Linked DNA regions of Tamandua tetradactyla. The protein of the gene in region 1 interacts with the protein of each later gene in a pairwise test. Links are inferred from orthologs where the notes say so. Each region holds a gene or a part of one and is shown in the gene's direction. Other genes may lie near its edges.

The links.
Region 2: the proteins of OTX1 (region 1) and VWC2L interact in binary tests that used the Homo sapiens proteins (3 or more experiments, as listed by UniProt). The two-hybrid records come from large-scale screens. The link is inferred for Tamandua tetradactyla from reciprocal best matches to the Homo sapiens genes OTX1 and VWC2L.

What each region holds. Positions count from the first base shown.
Region 1 is NC_135343.1:35,957,700-35,966,758, forward strand, and holds the start of OTX1 (homeobox protein OTX1), read left to right. Parts: upstream 1-5,561; 5' UTR 5,562-5,649; intron 5,650-6,014; 5' UTR 6,015-6,055; coding exon 6,056-6,085; intron 6,086-7,686; coding exon 7,687-7,894; intron 7,895-8,844; coding exon 8,845-8,996; intron 8,997-9,059. Other genes in the region: EHBP1 (EH domain-binding protein 1), read left to right, coding at 1-55, 266-356. UniProt on the Homo sapiens protein: Probably plays a role in the development of the brain and the sense organs. Can bind to the BCD target sequence (BTS): 5'-TCTAATCCC-3'.
Region 2 is NC_135329.1:189,732,401-189,740,735, forward strand, and holds the start of VWC2L (von Willebrand factor C domain-containing protein 2-like), read left to right. Parts: upstream 1-4,393; coding exon 4,394-4,783; intron 4,784-8,335. Other genes in the region: SPAG16 (sperm-associated antigen 16 protein), read left to right, coding at 307-482.

The sequences.
Region 1 (9,059 bases):
CCCTGGTGGACAAGCGCGACGCTCTGGTCAGGGATCTGGACGCTCAGGAGAAGCAGTAAGTGGGCGATGGGGTCTGTACCGAGGCCCGGCCACCTGCCGAGGGGCTGATAAGTTTGGGAAAGTTCAGTCCAGTCTCCCGCTGGCCTCGCGCTCCCAATTCCCGCGCGGGCCCGAAATGCGTGGTCTAGGGGGAACGCGCGGGTTAGGGGGAATGCGCTTTGCCCTCAACGCAGGAAAATAATTTTATTTTCTGTTTGACTTCCAGGGCCGAAGAAGAAGACGAGCATTTGGAGCGAACTCTGGAGCAAAACAAAGGCAAGATGGCCAAGAAAGAAGAAAAATGTGTTCTTCAGTAGCGACCGGGCCAGAATCTCGCCCAACATTTTAGAATCCTGGATCCCCAAACCAGAGAAAGTCAGACTCATTGTTGATTTATAGGCTGGATTGTACTTTACCGCCAACACCCCTTTTCCTCTCCTACCTTTCCAGATAATATACAGAACTACAAAATAGATTTATTTGTTTGTTCTTTAAAATCACGTGAAATAGATTTGCACAGACACCTTGTGAGTACTTCATATTGGGGTGTACAAGTTGTTCCAAAAAAAAATATGCTCCCCGTATTCTTTCATTTTTTTCATGGTAGGAAAATTTGAAAAATTTTATTGTGGTTGTTGTTGTTGTTAATAGCATAATGATGGGGGGGGTTCAGAGAGAGGGGTAAGGAAAATGTCATGAATATTTTTTCCAGTCCTGCCATATGTAACATTTACTCTGCTACCTAAATTTTATAGTTAGATCATACTCAATCCACTTATTAAACTGTGTTCTATTTACCATAGGGGTTTTCTGCAGTTGTTTTGCATTTACCATAGGATAACAGAGTTCTTCTCCTCTGCTTTTCATAGAGGATGATCTTTTAACATAGCCTGAAACAAGCCCTGTGATTTGAAGGTGAGGCATGAGGATGGAACTAATTGACATGCATCCTTTTACAAAAGACAGGCTTATCATCTGAGAATGCACCATCTTTTTCTCTGGATAATTATTTATTACATCTAGCTGGGCTCCTCCATTTGTTGGTTGAAGAATGCTGTTAATATTTATTCTGTGTTGATAGAAATCTGTCTTGCCACTGAGTAAATCCCTCCAATTAATATTTTCTTCTCTAACATAGCACTGTCATTTTTTTGTGAAAATGGTTATCTGTTTATTTATTACAATACTGAGTCATATAAATTTTCAATAAAAGCAGAAACTTTCTTACCTTAAACACCGCTGCTGCTTTCTTGCAATGAAAACTTGACACTTTGGCTAAGTGGAATTTGTGTATCCATAAGACTCTACATGTGGAAAAATGGTCCTCTGAAATGCAGGACAGGGCACGGCTGTATTTGGAGCTGAATAAGTTTATAACATCCCAAAGGGGCCCTGCTGACACATGAATGTGAATTGAAGAGCAATTAGTCATATGTTCTTAGCAGTATAAACTATCATCCAGGCAAAGGGTCATCTCTTTTGTTAAAGATTTGAGGAAATTTGTGATTCCACCTCACTGAAAATGATAAAATCTTGATGTATTTTCCACATTATTACTTATTTTCATTGTTAAGTTTTGCACTCTTAAGGAGAACTATGTCTTTGATATCCCACAGTCTGTAAGAACTTAAATGAAAGGAAGGGGGTTATCGTTGGGGAAGGAGGTGGGTGGATAATGTGGGCAGGTGTGTGTGTGATGAGGGAAAGAGAACTTTTAACAAAAAGTTCAGGTTACAGAAAAAAAATTGACGATTTTATGGTAATTTCCATTCAGTCATTCTGCTACAGAAGGGTCCCAAACAAAGCAAGCTCGTTCAACAAGTCTGGAGACTCAGAGGAAACACTTCAATAGAATTTATATTTTAGTCTAGATTTTATAAATACGTATATATTTGTACACACCCATATATACACATATACATACACGTACACACATAAACTCTGTTCGAAAAAGCATGTAGCCGACTCCAGCTGCCTTTCAAAAAGCCAATTAAAACTTGCTACGGTAGAATTTCTTCATGACAAGGATTTTAAGAAAAGTTATTGAAAAGTTATCAGAACCAAGTGAAATCAGGTATTTGCCCTTTTTATTCGAACGGAAGAGCAGAGTGAGCCGCGGCTTTTCCGGGGGTAGCTCTCAGAACTCGGGGAAAGCCAGCAGATGTAGATCGCCCGTCCCGAACAGCCTGGGGCTTGGGCGGCCAGCGTCACCCCCTCGGTTCACGAAGGACTGGGGAAACTTTCCCTCCCGAAGGGCTACTGAGCTGAGAAGTGCAAACCTGTCCTCGCACCGGATTTGCCAGGGCGGTCGGGAATGGCAGCGCCGACCCGCTTCCCGCCCCACCTGCCTCAGTCTTGAGCCTCGCGGAGCTTCCATTTGGCTCCGTGGCGCCTGCACTCCCACCGGCGGCGCTGGAGTGCAGACCCCGGGGACCGGCCGGGTCAGGCCCGAGGCGAGGGCGCCGCGTTCGGGCTTCGCCCGGCTGGCCCAAGAACGCTCTGCCGGGCGTGGGCGCCGGCCCGGGACGCCCAGGGCCGGGGAACTTGAAAGCCCGTACTGCGGGAGGAGAGGCTGACGGCCCGGGAGTCGCTGGGGAGGAGGAGCGTTAGCGGCAGGCTGATTTGAGCACAGCCGGCTGGCCCTTATGGAACTTCTGTCCCTGGCCAGGATCCCTAGGCCCGGAAGCCAAACCCTTCCCCTTGTCCGGTGTCCTCCAGAATCTGGCCGGGCCTCGAGGTTACTTAGCTGCGGGTTCCGGGTCCCGGGTCCCAACTCCCTCTCCCTCTCTACGGCCTGGGGACCTTGAGCTGGGTTCGCTTTTCCTCCCGAAGCGCTGACCTCTTTTCCCCTCCCCGCGCTGCGGCCGTAGCTGAAATAGTCGTGGCTTCTGGCCCAGCGTCTCCCACCTGGACGTTTGCCTAGCGACGATCGCCTCAATCCTCTGCGCCTCGTACAGGAAACTTTCATTTCAGTCTCTCCCTCTCTACTTTCCTCCCTCTCCTCCCTTTTTTCTTCTCTTAATCCCGGGATTTTATGGGCTGAGCATTAAGAAAATTCGCCTGCAATTTGGGATTAGATAAATACTCTCATGGGGGGGGGGGGAATCCCTGCTACTTGATACCTCCCGACTTCCCCCAGACCGGTGGCAGCATCTGGAGCTGTGAGCGCCATACTCCCGCGCGGCGGGCCCTGGGGACCGCGCCGGCACATTCCAGAACGCACCGCTGCCCGATTTAGCTGCGCAGATCCCCGGGCCGGTGCTACGGCTGCAGGCAAAACCGCGCCGAAAGGAGGCAGGAGGCGAAGTTGCGGGGCTAGGGCAAGAACACGCACCCCGGAGCGGGAGGTCCAAACCCAAGCACAGAGCGCACAGGCCCGGGTAGGGCAGGGCTACGGTCGCGGACGCTGCCGGAGCGTACGCCAGGAGTCCCGCACACATCCTCCCACCAAACTTGTCCACCTCCAGCAGGCGTCTTTTCCTGGGCCTGGGGGAGGGGAGTGTATTTTGTTTCTTTCTTTAAACCTCAGCACCATCTCCGTGGCTCCGAAACGCGGGCTACTCTCGACGGGGGCCTTGGGCGAGCCTGAGGTGTGTCCGCCCCGGGGCCAGCGCCGCGCTCTGCGCAGCTTCTTTTCCTTTTACAGCTTTTTCCACCCCACCCCACCCCCCATGTTTTTCCTTTCCTCTCGTTCTTTTATTCTGCTTTCTCTCTCTCTTTCCCTTTTGTGAATGAGCCGCGGTGTCTTTGTTCTGTAGAGAAGCGCCCGTGTCGCTGACTTTTGTGAACCACAGAAGGATCTTGTAAAACCTCCTTTTCTCCTTCGTACTCCCTCACTCCCACCCCTCCTTCCATGCCCCTTTGATTAGATGTTCCCTCATCGTCAAAAAAAAAATGTAATTTCGTTGGTCTGGCGGCCACTTTCTTTGAACATTAGCTCGCTTTCAGCTCCAACTTCAATTAGAAGGAGTTGATTTTGAGAGATCAACAAAAGAACCGACCAAAGCCTTATTAAAGGTCCTAAGAAGATCTCCCGGGCCCTTTGAGAAGCAGTTAAGGAAACAGTGTGCCCTCCATCATATTCTGTTACCGTATTTTATTCGGACTCCAAAGGAAAGTGTCGCTTGGGGGAGGGGGAAACACTTTGATGAGCTGCTGCGGCGGCCCCTTTTCACTCAGCGAGCTCCCCCTTCCTCCTCCTCCTCGCCCAGAGCCCGGTCGGCTTGCGAGGCGGGACCCAGCGGCCCGGGCCGTGCGGGCGCTGGCCACGGCGATGCACCTTGTGGTTCCATGACTTGCCCGCATACCTACTCTCCTTCCTGTTCAAACTTTTCACTACGCCTGTTAGGGGAGGGTGGGTTAGGAAAAAAGGGTAAGAATTCCTCGAAAGGGAGTAAATCCGTGAGTAATAATATAGGAGGAGGTGCCATTTAAAAGAATTACCTTGCTCAGGAGTAGGGGCGAAAGCACTTTTGTGGCGCTTTGAAAAGTCCACTCAGGTGGACGAGTTTGAGAAGTTTGTTCGGCTGGGAAATGGACTTCGCCAATATGAGCAATCCGGTGAAATCGCCTCAAGGAGGCTCACTCCGCGGCACGTGGAAAAGAAATTGAGGGCAGGGGGTCTCATTTTCCAACAGACTGTCCCTGGTAATGGAAACGAGGAGGGAGAGAAATAGACAGTGGGAAAGAGAAAGTTTCCTATCAAAATCTCTCCATTCAGAAGTAAAGTGTGTGTGCGGGGAAAGGAGGGAGGGGAAGTGGAGAGGGGGAACGTTGGACTCGAACGTCTCCGAAAAAGCGTTTAAGATTTTAAAGCACTCTTCGTGGGGACCGGAAACCCCAAGAGACTCCGAGGAGCAGGTAAGTGGGGATGCCTCCCTTGTGGGTGCTCTTCCCGGGCGCGAAAGTACTGAGGTGCGGAGGAGGGATCTGCGCGCCCGGAGCTGCTCTCGCGCTCCGCAGAGTTGCCCGCGCCAGCACAATCCGCCCCCGGGGTCGGTCTGCAGGTGGCTGCGCAGAGGTAGCAGGCGCTGAGGTCCGCGGCGCCGCAAGAGAAGCTGGGGGCCCCGCTCCTCAAGCCCCCGGCCCCAGAGTCCTCGCGGCCACACCCGGTCGCCGAGCCGGGTGGGCTCAAGGGAGAGCTAAGAAACCGGTTCTCCAGCACCTCGCCTCCCTCTGCCACTCCCTTCGGAGCGCCAAGAGGGCGGGAGAGGAGTGGGGGCCCCTGGACAGGCCCCGGGACGGGCGCCCCCTCAATGGCCTGGGCTTGGTCGCTGCTCTCGCCTTCCTCGTCTCGATCTGTTTGGTATTTGCAAACCGAGCCCCAGAGTTAGCGCGCGACCGGGGCGGGGGTGGAGGGAGGGCGGGGGAGGGCGGGGTGCAAGGGGCGGGGGAGGGCGGGGGCGCGCAGAGGTAACCCCCGGCTCGAGCTGCCATTGCCCGGCTCCCTGTCACTCAGCCCGCGCGGGGCCCTGGATTGGCGGCCTAGCCCCGTTACGCACTCGGCTCGCATTCACTTACCCGGGGAGGGCAGTAGAAAGGTGATCAATCTTCATCAAGCTACATTTCCAATCACCTAAACAACCAAGCAAGACAAGCTACTCCGACCAGGTAAATTGCTTGATTTACTTAGTTTGAAAAGTGCCTCTGCAGGACTTCTCCAGGCCCTGCTGTCTCCCTGCTGCCCCGAGAGTGCAGCTGTAAAGGCGAACCTCCTTCCAACTCTATCCCCCGTACCCTCCACCCTCCCCACTCGCGGCTGCTCGGCGCGGTCTTGGGCGAGGCAATGTCCCGGGAGCGTGTAGGGCTTTGCAAACAAAGTGTGCATTAAAGTGAAACCTGGAGGAACACGCACAAAAGCCATTGGGTAAGAAGAAAGAAATGGGAGGAGGGAAGTTGGGGAAAGAAAGAAATCCCGGGGTCCAAGACCAGCCGCCTGGCCCGATGCGTAATTCCTGTGCGGCTCTGTTTTGCAGGTTGGCGGCCGGGCGGGTCTCTGTAAGGGCGTGAAGTGTAGATGGTGAGAGGCCGAAGCGGCAGAGAACAGGTAAGGAGAAAGACGCGGGGTCGCGCGGAACTCCGGGAGCGCATTGATTGCTCTGTTTTCCCCCTCCTCTACGCGGTACCCGCTTCCCCCAGTCCTGGGCAATGGGGCGGGGCCGGGGGAGCGGCCTGGAGCCTCTCTAGGTGTGCGGAGGGCCCCAAAGCGGTGCTACGACGCTCTGCCCCCTCCCCCGCCTCCTCCGAAGTCGCCGAGCCGAAGTTTGGAGGAAGTCTTTGAAAACTCAAGGCAGCAGCCTAGCAGACCCTCCGCGCTTGAATCTGGTTCTCCTTTGGTCCAAGAGTACCGGCTGTTGCCCTCTTCTTCCTCCCCTTCCCGGCGAACAGGGCTCTCTCAGTCCAGGCTGAGGGTCCCGGCGGACCCGGGTGGGGTATGGGGGGAGGTAGTGCGTCTTCAGTTCAAACTTCTCCTGCGGTACTCCCTAACCCAGGTCCCGAGGCCTGCTTTAAGAAAAGTTCCCGCCAAACGGGGTGGAGCGACAAGGCCTCCTGGGCTCCAATCCAACTTACCAGAATCTCTTCCTGACCCCCGAGTATAGCGCCTAGGGTTCGGAGCAGTTAGGGAAGCGCAGCTTTGACCTTCTGGCCGGGATCAGCGCGGGCCACGCCGCTGAGGCCTAGTTCTCGGTCGGGTCCGGGATCGCGGGTTCAGGGAGTAGGGATAGGCAGGCAGCGCACGGCGCTTGCCTCAACCCAGCCTCCCAAATCCCGGAGACCCTTTGGATTCGATCAGCCTTCAGACCTGGCCGGGACCCCATTGTCCCTATACAGGACCCGGCAGAAAGAAAGCGCAGACTGCGCCGCCCAATAGAGGCCCACAGCCCCGGCTGAGGTTCCCCGAACTACGGGCCTCATCTTGGAACTGCCACCTCTACCGTGACCCCTTCTGCCTCCTTTGACCGCCTTTGCTGGGCCTAGGTGGATAACTGCGGTTGAGCTGTGGTGAGATTCCGGCACAGCCTTTCAGTGACTGGGAGCAGAGAGGTTAGCTGTAGGGTTGGCTGCGGACGCTGGGGCTCGGCCCCAGCCACGGAAACCTTGAGGGAGAGCAGGCCCCCGAGTGAGCAACGCGTCCCACAGAGGCCGACGTGCGGCCAGTCCTCGCAGTGCCTTGCTTTGGCCCTCTGGAATCTTTACTTTTTATCTCACTTTCAAAAGCAATTGAAACAAAACGAAACAACCCCTCATAGCTTTGGCAGCCTGAGGCCGGCCAGGGCGCCGAGTGAGTGTTTGGTGGTGCAGCCTGAGATCGGCTCCCGCCGGACTCAAAATTTTAGAACCTTGCACTCCGGACGATTTCGGCCCTGCTGTCGCCCTTAGCCTGACCGGGTTTTTCATCAATTCTCAATCCCCCCTGCCGTCCTGCCAGAGTCTTTGGCCAATTTCAACTCCGAACAGAGGCAACGACATCCAGAAACGTTTTTCAAGGCTATGGTCTCTGGACTTAGGGCCTTGTGGATCAGAATTGATGCCTCTGCCCAGGGCTTCATCTTGCTCCCCCTTTCCAACCAGATCTTTGTCTCGGGCAAGACTTGGGAGCTGGGGTGGCTCTGAATTACGGTTTCCCTGTGTCTCGTATCTTCACAGGCCCGGTCCCCAGACGCAACAGAGTTCAAAGGACTGAGCGGTGGGAGTCCCGCACCGTGCCCGGCCCGCGGCCCCCTGGATCCGTCGGGGCGCCTCCACCCGGCTGTTAGCATGATGTCTTACCTCAAACAACCCCCATATGGCATGAACGGGCTGGGCCTGGCGGGGCCGGCCATGGACCTGCTGCACCCCTCCGTGGGTTATCCGGGTGAGCACCCGCCCTCCCGGGCCCCTGCCCCTGCAAACGTTGGGAACACCCAGGTTACCGGCTCTGAGCGCATGCTTTTATTGCCGAGAAGGCCCAAGAAGCTAGTTACCTAGTTGTTCACAACACAGAACCCACTGCTGGCCGCCTGCCGCAGCAGCGTCGCGGGTGGGTGAGGTGGGTCAGGGCGGCGAGAACTTGTGATGAGCACCTTCCCGGCCCGGCCACAAGAGCAACCTGTCTCCTATTATGCTCTCACTGCCAGGGCAGAGCGCATTTACCCGCGAATTCGTTTCCCACGGGTGGCTATTTTTTTGTGTGTGTGGATTTATTCCTTTTCCCCCAACGTTGAATGAGGAATCTAGACACTTGCTAAGCCCTAACGAAAAGCGCTTGGCCCTAAGGCCGAATTTTCCTAATCAACGCGACGGGCTGGGCTGGGCTGAGGTAGGCGAGTTCTCCTTCCCTAATGAAATTGTGCCCAGGACCAGCGGCCTGCACCAAAACCGCTGAAGGGAAGGCTTGAGCCGAACCCTGGGTTTCTTTTCCGGCTCCTCCTTTACCCCCATTTATTCCCTCAGAATGTGTTTTCCCGGTGGTGTTTCGACACACCTCTCCAACACCAGGCCGGGGCGAGGGGGGGGGGGGGGGCGGCGGGCTGGAGGGGACATGGAGGAAGGGAACTACCCTACCTATTTTAACCTCTCGGACGCAGGGATGCGGGCAGGCCCGGAGCCTTGGGGATGCACACACACACACACTTTTTCCCACCTGTGGCCTCTCAGGCTAGGTGAGTTTCTTTTCTAGGACTGGGAAGTTTCTTTACTAGGAGCTTGGTTTTCCCTTGCCGATGGCCCGGCGCAGGGCCTGCCAGGGGCCTGCCTGCCCGCGTCTTCTTGCCCCGGTCCGCGTGGCCTCTACTGACCCAAGGAGCCCCCCGCGTGTCCCCACAGCCACCCCGCGGAAGCAGCGGCGAGAGCGCACCACTTTCACGCGCTCGCAGCTGGACGTGCTCGAGGCGCTGTTCGCCAAGACTCGCTACCCGGACATCTTCATGCGGGAGGAAGTGGCGCTCAAAATTAACCTGCCCGAGTCCAGAGTCCAGGTGCGTGCACCCAGGATTCTAAAGTCGTAGTTGGGGAGCCGGTGCTGGTGGGTGAGGGCAGGC
Region 2 (8,335 bases), on another chromosome or scaffold:
TTTGCTCAGTTTCTTTAAGTCTCATATTCTCAAAATGTTTTATTAATTACAGATGTAAGGAGAATGGCAGGCACTTAATGACCTTTGCATGAAAAGCAGGTAGAACATTAGGTTTCACTTACTCATTCTAAAATTATGTAATTGAGTTAATTTTGACAGATTATTTCCTATGGAGACAAGTTAGTTCATATTTAATAATTGTCATCTAACATAAAATGAATGTTGAATCACACTTGAAACAAAACAGAATGTTCTATTGCAAACTGTGACTAAAATAAAACTTTGATCTCTCTCTCTCTCTCTCAGGTCGAGTTTTAGCTCAGGCGAGCGGCAATGGGATTATCCATTTGCTAGATCTTAAATCAGGGCAGATTCACAAATTGTTGGGCCACGAGGGCGAAGCACACACGGTGGTGTTTTCTCCTGACGGGGAGAGTCTGTTTTCCGGAGGCTCTGACGGCACCGTTCGAACGTGGTCTTGATGGCCAGCATATCCCACTGCGGAAGGCATTCCCTTGAAAATGTCTAGCGTAGTCCCAAACCAGTAAGTGGTTGGTTGAATATGTCAGCAGGTAAAATTTACAACTTACGTATTTACATTAAAACAGTCTTGGGTTATATGTTTTTGAGCTCGTACTGTTACCAATTAAAAAAAAACTTTCTGCATATTCATTTGTGTCTGTCTTTTTTCTATCATTTTGATAAGAATTTAGAGAAAGATATTTCCTAAGGGTTTGGTAGAAACAGCTTTACAATGACGCCTAATGACAGACTAGATGAATTACAAGAGCTTGGATTTAATGCTAGAAAACAAACTGCAGGAGAACCCGGCTACTTTTTCTTCTTCTTCTTTTAATTAAATCCTAGCTGCAGAAAGATCTGAAGTTTAATCGTGTAGCACTGGGAAAGTCCTTCTGCAACCAAGTGGTCAAATACAATCGTCGTGCGTTCATTTTTACAGATTCTTTGACAATGATTATGCCATATCTATTAATAATAATCGGAGACTGCAGATGGCTTGAATCTAAACGCAAGCCTCTTCCGGAACTTTCATCTCTGCAGCCCATCCAAGAATGCATTTAGTATAATTGCAGTGATTTTGGGGGGGGGGGGGAGTTGTAATTTGAATGCAAATAGTATCTCACACGTAGCATGCCTTCCCGCTTCCTAATGCACGTCCGTTGTATAGAGAAAGTGCTGCTGCTTAAGAGAACGCTCTTGCCTTGGCTAGAGAAGCAGCTAGGGGATTTCGACCGAGCTGGGTTTAGAAGCCAGTTGTTGGCGCTATCCGTGGTGCTGAGGAATTCCCGGCTGCCGGCAGAATGAGCTCCAAATCAGCAGTCGCAAACTGCTCTCATTGATGCAGAAATCCAGCTAAAGTTGCTCCTTTCCTTCACGTCCACAGTTAACATTTCCTGGTGTTTAAGAGGGGAGTCAAGCAACATATTGTGGATGATGCTGATTGTGTTGCCAGCGGAGCGGACTTTAAGCTACAGTATATTGTTGCTGTTTGTGATCCTGAGAGCCTAGCCAAATCACCTCTACTGCCGTAGCAAACACTGTGTAAGTGAACTCATGTGTGGAGGAGGCGTAATAAACCAGGAAATTTCATAGAAGGATCTGGGAAAATGCTAAAAATAAGTTCAACATGATTCTCCTACTGAGGTCTGGATTTCTGCAGAAACAGCATTGCTTCTTGCTTTGAATTCTGAAGACACGTCCAAAGCTTATTTCTTATGTGTGTCTGCTGTGTTTCTCTCTGGAAGGGCGGGAGACTGCTTCTTGACTGTATTTTGAAATGGGAGGTAGACAGAATGGATTGCCTATAATTCATCCCTGAAAATGTATTCTTTGGGTTATTAAAGAGGAACTGCTTTCCTAAAACATAACTGACCTTTGGGTTCATATTGATCTGTGACCCCCACCACTACCATTAACCTCCAGAGTGATTAGGTAAGTGTATCTTATGGCATAAGTTATGCTTTTTTTTTTTCCAAATAAATAGATGCAGTCATTTTAAATCATATGTAGCAATATAGGGAGGGGGGAAGTATAACTGGGAAGTGAACCTCAGTTTAGCAATGTTTGCTTAGTTATTAAAATCTTCAGATAAACATTTCATTAGATTTCTTTAATGCTTCTTCTCTTAATAAATAATATAATAAATTGCACTATAGCAGCTCAGTTATGAATAGGGTTATTTTTTTTAATTTCCTTGGAACTTTGTTATATTAAAAAAACTCGTTTCACTCATACAGATTTTTAAATGCATTTCATATAATAAATCATGTTTAATGTTTATCTAAAGTGGGTCTACACCATATTTTAATTTTTTAAGTTTGAATTTACCATAACCTGACACATTAATGCCTACCTGTGGCTTGCAAAGAGATCATTTTCTGAGTGTGTCCTTTAGCAGCAGAATGATATGTGTATTTTATGTGGCTTTTCTTGCACATATTGACAAATACTACAAGAATATTATCTGGAAGCCCAGTGGCTTCCTTTTCTTCCAAGATAAACTTTCAAAATACATGAGAAATGTATAAAATACACACTTTAATTTGTAAAATATATTTATCTCTTTTCAGAGGTTTCTGTTTTGTTTGTGGCCTCTGTAGTAATTTAAGAGAAAACAACACACTGTAGTCAAAGGGAGCTTGCAGCTTCTCAAGTAGGATTATAGGTTTGCATATTCTTGTTCTGTCATGACTCATTATTTTTGGCATATTTTAAAAGAAATCCATCTTCTTTATCATCACCTACCCAGAAGGAATTCTGACATCAAGGAGCAGTTTTCTCTGAAAGGAGAGTGTGACTATACTACCTTCCATTTTACTATTACTAGAATTTGCATATCTAGCTTAAAATGCACAATATGATACAATAGTTCATAAAAGTTTCCTAAAGCTATCTTGCTCTTAATTAAAAGTACCATCTGTGTATGCTAGATGGAAAAGAGATGGTTTATCATTGTTCTTGTAATAATCTGAAAATAAACCAATGAATGACATTTATAAATGATCTGAAAATGTCCTATATACAATCTTAGCAATATTGGCATTAAGCCAGTAGCATTTAAATAGATAAATGAACTGTTTGCCAACACTTTTCCTTATCTGTTAACTCCCTACAGGCGGTTTTCCCAGGGCCTAGTGTAACTTGGTCACTCTAAGCATTTAAATAAGAGCCTACTACAAACACTCTATACCAAGCACTAATGTTAAGTGAAGTTTGCAAGAGTTAATGCCACCACATTAATAAGGCATATTTACTTTAAATGGTAACACCTCATTATAGTTTTCAGAAACTTCCATAAGCCCAGATTACGCTGGGATTTCAGAGTGCAAATTGCAGAAATACAAACATTTTTGGCATTTCCAAAGAGAGTTGTGCTTTCAAGACTGTGTAAATGGTATTTATTTAATTGAAGTAATTAATTCAAAAGTATTACATGAATACTGTATTCAAAAATACTGTAAAAGATTCATAGATACATCTTTCCTGCCCACTAGGAGCTTACCTACTGAGTGAAATAAAAATGTGGACAATACAAATAAATTTTTAACTAATCCCTCTCAATATATGGAACTCTATTTTATTATTTATAATTTTAAATTTCATTTCTCTTATTCAATGTGGAATCGTAATGCTGTTCTTATTCTTAACTATGTTTCAAAATCCAGATCCAAATTTAATGAGACAAGTTAGCCCATAGTGAGACTATTGTTCTCCAATTATGGGCATATGGAAGCAGGAAAGCCTTTGTACTAGCTGTGTCCCAAACATAATTTACACTTAACTGTTATTTTTATTCCCTTTCTTTTAGAATTGGAATTCTTCTCGCTATTCTCATGGGTTTTGATACAGAAGATTGTAATATATATACACACACAAATATACACACATATACATCTATATGCATATATATATATCCTATCACTGACTAGTCCAGTTTTAAGATAAATATAGAATGTGAATTCAAATATCAAATATTCTTGGGCTATTTATAAGTTGTCATAACCTTTTCAAGTTCAGTTAAACCATTTATCTCTATTTAGACAAAGCCAGATATTTGAAATTCAGAAGGTAAATTCAAGCTGAAGTTTCATAGATAAAATATACCATCATTTACAAACTTTAATACATGCATGGCCAAGGATCAACTCTCCAAACTGCATAATAAAGTATAGATAATTGCATGCACTTTGTCTCTCAGAGGTCTTAGTATCCTCCAAATTGATCCCAAACAGATTAACTGAACCTAAATTCTCTTTTATATGTCAAACTATTCTTTTTAAATATTTATTTTCAGCCTACCCTCTTGTATTCCCATGGAAGCAGCTGGGTATATTTAATATTAGGAGCGTATCTGGAAGTCTTTGAGGAGGGGATGGCTCTTCATATTCATGAAGCCTGCATACTTTTGTTGATCATCCCGGGACTGGTCACCTCTGCTGCCATCAATCATGAAGATTATCCTGCTGATGAAGGCGACCAGACCTCTAGTAATGACAATCTGATCTTTGATGATTATCGAGGGAAAGGGTGTGTGGATGACAGCGGCTTTGTATACAAGTTGGGAGAACGATTTTTCCCGGGGCATTCCAACTGTCCATGTGTCTGTGCTCTGGATGGACCCGTGTGCGATCAGCCAGAATGCCCTAAAATTCACCCAAAATGTACTAAGGTGGAACACAATGGATGCTGTCCTGAATGCAAAGAAGTGAAAAACTTTTGTGAATATCATGGGAAAAATTACAAAATCTTGGAGGAATTTAAGGTATGACTGACCCTCTATCTTTGTTGAATGCTAACTCTTTCATATCATACGCTTAGATTGCTACGTATAAACTAAAGTTGGAAAAACGGGTTTTAAAAATTTCCCTTTAGTTTAAAGCAATATGATTCCAGTTAGTGTAAGAAACCTTACGGTAAACAAAAAGTGAATTGGTTTGTTGATCACGCTCTGTAAGGTTTTGCAATAACCTTTTCCTTCAGTATGATTTGCAGCAGGCTTAACATCTCTTTATGCATTTCTTCATTGTTATTCCAACACACGTCTTCTGAGGGAAACTTAATTTTTTTGGTAGACTATTAAATCAATTTCTAAATTTTATGAGGATTTTTTTCATGGCTTATTATCCATTTTTGGAACCCTTCCACAATAGTCTCAAATTATTTACTTAGTATGTGAAAACCTAAAGCTACAGAGACATACTTCTGAGCTGTGGTCTTCCTAAGAACATGTAATGGAACTACTTATGTAGAGCATGGCCCCCATTCTGGCCTCTGCTTATTAGAATTTTCACTTTCAGTACCCCCACAGGTATCTGAATTTTTATCTTAGTCCATTGTAAAAGATAGTGAAAAAAAAACCTAATTCTATAATTTCCTCACTACCATGGTATTTCTTAGGCCTTCTTTTTAGAAGGCCTTCTTCTTAGGCCTGTGTCATATTTTCAAGAAAATTGAGGTTCATTTTTATCTCTTCTTGGATACACTTTTCACCAACAGCTAATTCTAATTAGGATGTCCTACAAGGCAGATCTGAACCTTGAGGGCATAAATTAACACATCAAAAAATCTTCCTTGAATGTAATGGCAGTTTGTGCCGTGGGGTGTCTGTCATACTGATGGCTTGATATAAAAGGTTTTCATTTCTTCTAACCACATTCTGTGACAAGGTGCTCAAAACCTGATAGGTCAAACAAGATATAGATCTTAGTTGTGTGATTGTTTATATTTGAGAAGATGACTCAGTTAGAAGAATGCACTGGCCTAACTTCCTTTTCTGCAAGGATCAAATGGTTCCAAAGGCAAAGAGGTGGAAAAGGGAGCTTAGCTAATCATGATCAGAGTGGAATGAGTCTATGTGCTGACATTTCATCACATTCAATTCATTCCAGATTGTGAGTTCGAACAACTTCTAAGTTATCCAAAAATACCCAATTGGTTTAACTAGATTCCCTAGGTTAAGAGGGGTAATTCAAACAATAATTAGTACATTCAACCTTCTTATAGATGTTTACCTAGATTTTTCTTTCATGTTTTATGTTATTATTTTGATGTAGCATATTAAGAAGTAAGAAGCTTCAGGGTCTAGTAAAATTATAATTATTGACATCAAATGATAAGAGCATAGTACATTTATTAATTGTCTTATGTCCTCTGAATTATTGTATACACTTTGACATTAACTATTTTTACTTTTAGGTAAGTGGGAGTAAATGCAAGTATTCAGCACATGATTTGATTCTAGAAATGGTTCTACAATCATGTCACTCTCTTCTAACATGCATATATCTCTAGAGGAGAATGCAAAAAGGTCTGGTAGGAACAATATTTCATGGCTAGGCCAAACAAAAAAAAGAAGCCCAGCAGATAAAATTTCTGAGACCTATATACTTTGGTAATCAGTATTTAATAAAGAAGAGATTGGCTGATTGTTTTAACTTAGTCAATTCCCTATTAAAATGCTATAAATTGCAGAGGTAATTACTATTTTTAGCATCTCAAATACTACAGAGATATATAAATCTACCCCTTTAATTACATTTCCCGGCTGTAATTAAATATACTACCCATTAATATGCACAGCATTTTCTCCTGACTCTATGTGCAAGGAGATTTTTAAATGGGAACTGAAAAAGAAGAAAATAGATATCACTTTTCACAAGGATTTAAAGAGTCATAAAAAAGCTTTAGAGATTATCCAGGGCAAATTCCTCATTAAGATAACAAAATAAGGCATGAAAGTTTAAGTTACTTGTCCAAAATTGTCAAGTTATTTTTAACCTATTTCTAAGTATTGCCATTCTAACAATAGTCTATACAATCTCTTTAAGTAATTTGGCTCTAGAGTCAGTTGACCTGGATTCAAATCTGAATCCATCACTTAGTTATGTGGCTTTCTCAAGGAATTCTTTAACTTTTTGAGCCTCAGTGCTATTGGCTATATAATGGTCATAATAATAATACCTCTCTGTGAGGAAATGTTGAAAAGATTGAATGACATGACTTATGAAAAGATACTAGCTTTGTGATGACTGCTACAAAAAACGTGTTGACTAAATGGCTGTTGCATTCCCTCAAAATTGTTTTCCTGGGAGTTACTTCAAATTCTAAATTTCTCTGTGTTTTTACCCACATCTTATAATGAAAGCTCAACTTTAAAAGTCATTCAATTGAGGGCTGTGCACTGGCGGCTCAGTGGCAGAATTCTGTCTTGCTGTGCCAGGGACCCTGGTTTGATTCCCAGAGCCTGCCCATGGGTCAAAAAAAAAAAGTCATTCAATTGAAAGAATCCCAATACCTTTAAAAAGTTCTAATTATCTTATGAACATATCCCTAAATAAATGTTAGCCATAAACTGCCACCTTGGTTTTCCCCCAATGTAGCTTCCAAGAGACAGAAAATTAGCTTTTGAATAATATAAAATATATATTATATTTTCATATAATAATCTTGGCCAGTCATTAAGAAGGTTGTATTATGAGATATTCTTTGCATGTAACATATTCAACAAACATTTATTGGGCTCTTTAGTAAACAAGAGAGTAAATGTACTTATATTAGAAAGTAAAATATCTAAGTGGCAAAGTCTCCACTCACAAGGAAGGAATAATCAATGTACAGGAGGAAGAAAAAAGGCCTAACATTAAGTATATGGTTATGAAGTTTCAAAATGAATTCCAAAGGATTAGGAAGTCAGAAGCTTATCAACAGGGTGTGAAGCTTGGTCAAGCAAGACTCCCTTCTTCCTTCAGTGTATTCAAAGTTGCCTGTTCTTAAAGATGTATTTAAAGTTGATCTGGGGAGGTAAAAATTTCAAAGAGGAAACCACTTGAGCAAAATCAGAGATTGGGATGAATAAAATCTGCAAAGAGAAGAAGGAGGTGGGAATAACAGGAAGCTGATGCTAACTAAAAGGCTATTGTAGTAAGGGGGAGGTAAATGGAGATGTATTATTGGATGGTAGATGGCAAAGACTTGAATACTGGACTGAAATATTTAGTTTCAGTCTGAAGAATAGCAAGGAATAAAATATAGGGGGTTGTACACGACTTAAGTAAATGTGATTTTTTAAAAAAAGATTTCCTGGTAGCCAAGCACAGACTTGAATAGAAATGAAGAGAAACTAATGGCAAAGTGGGAGGTAAGGTAGGGCAAGGAGGCATAATACAAAGAACGAGATGACCGACATGCATAGAGACAAAAATACGTTATGATATTGTCTTTAGAATAAAATCCACCTTCCCTAGAATTGTCTGGATTTGCATTTGACCTCTCCTAGTACCTTAAATTCTCAGTGACTTCTCTTCCCTGTGTGTTT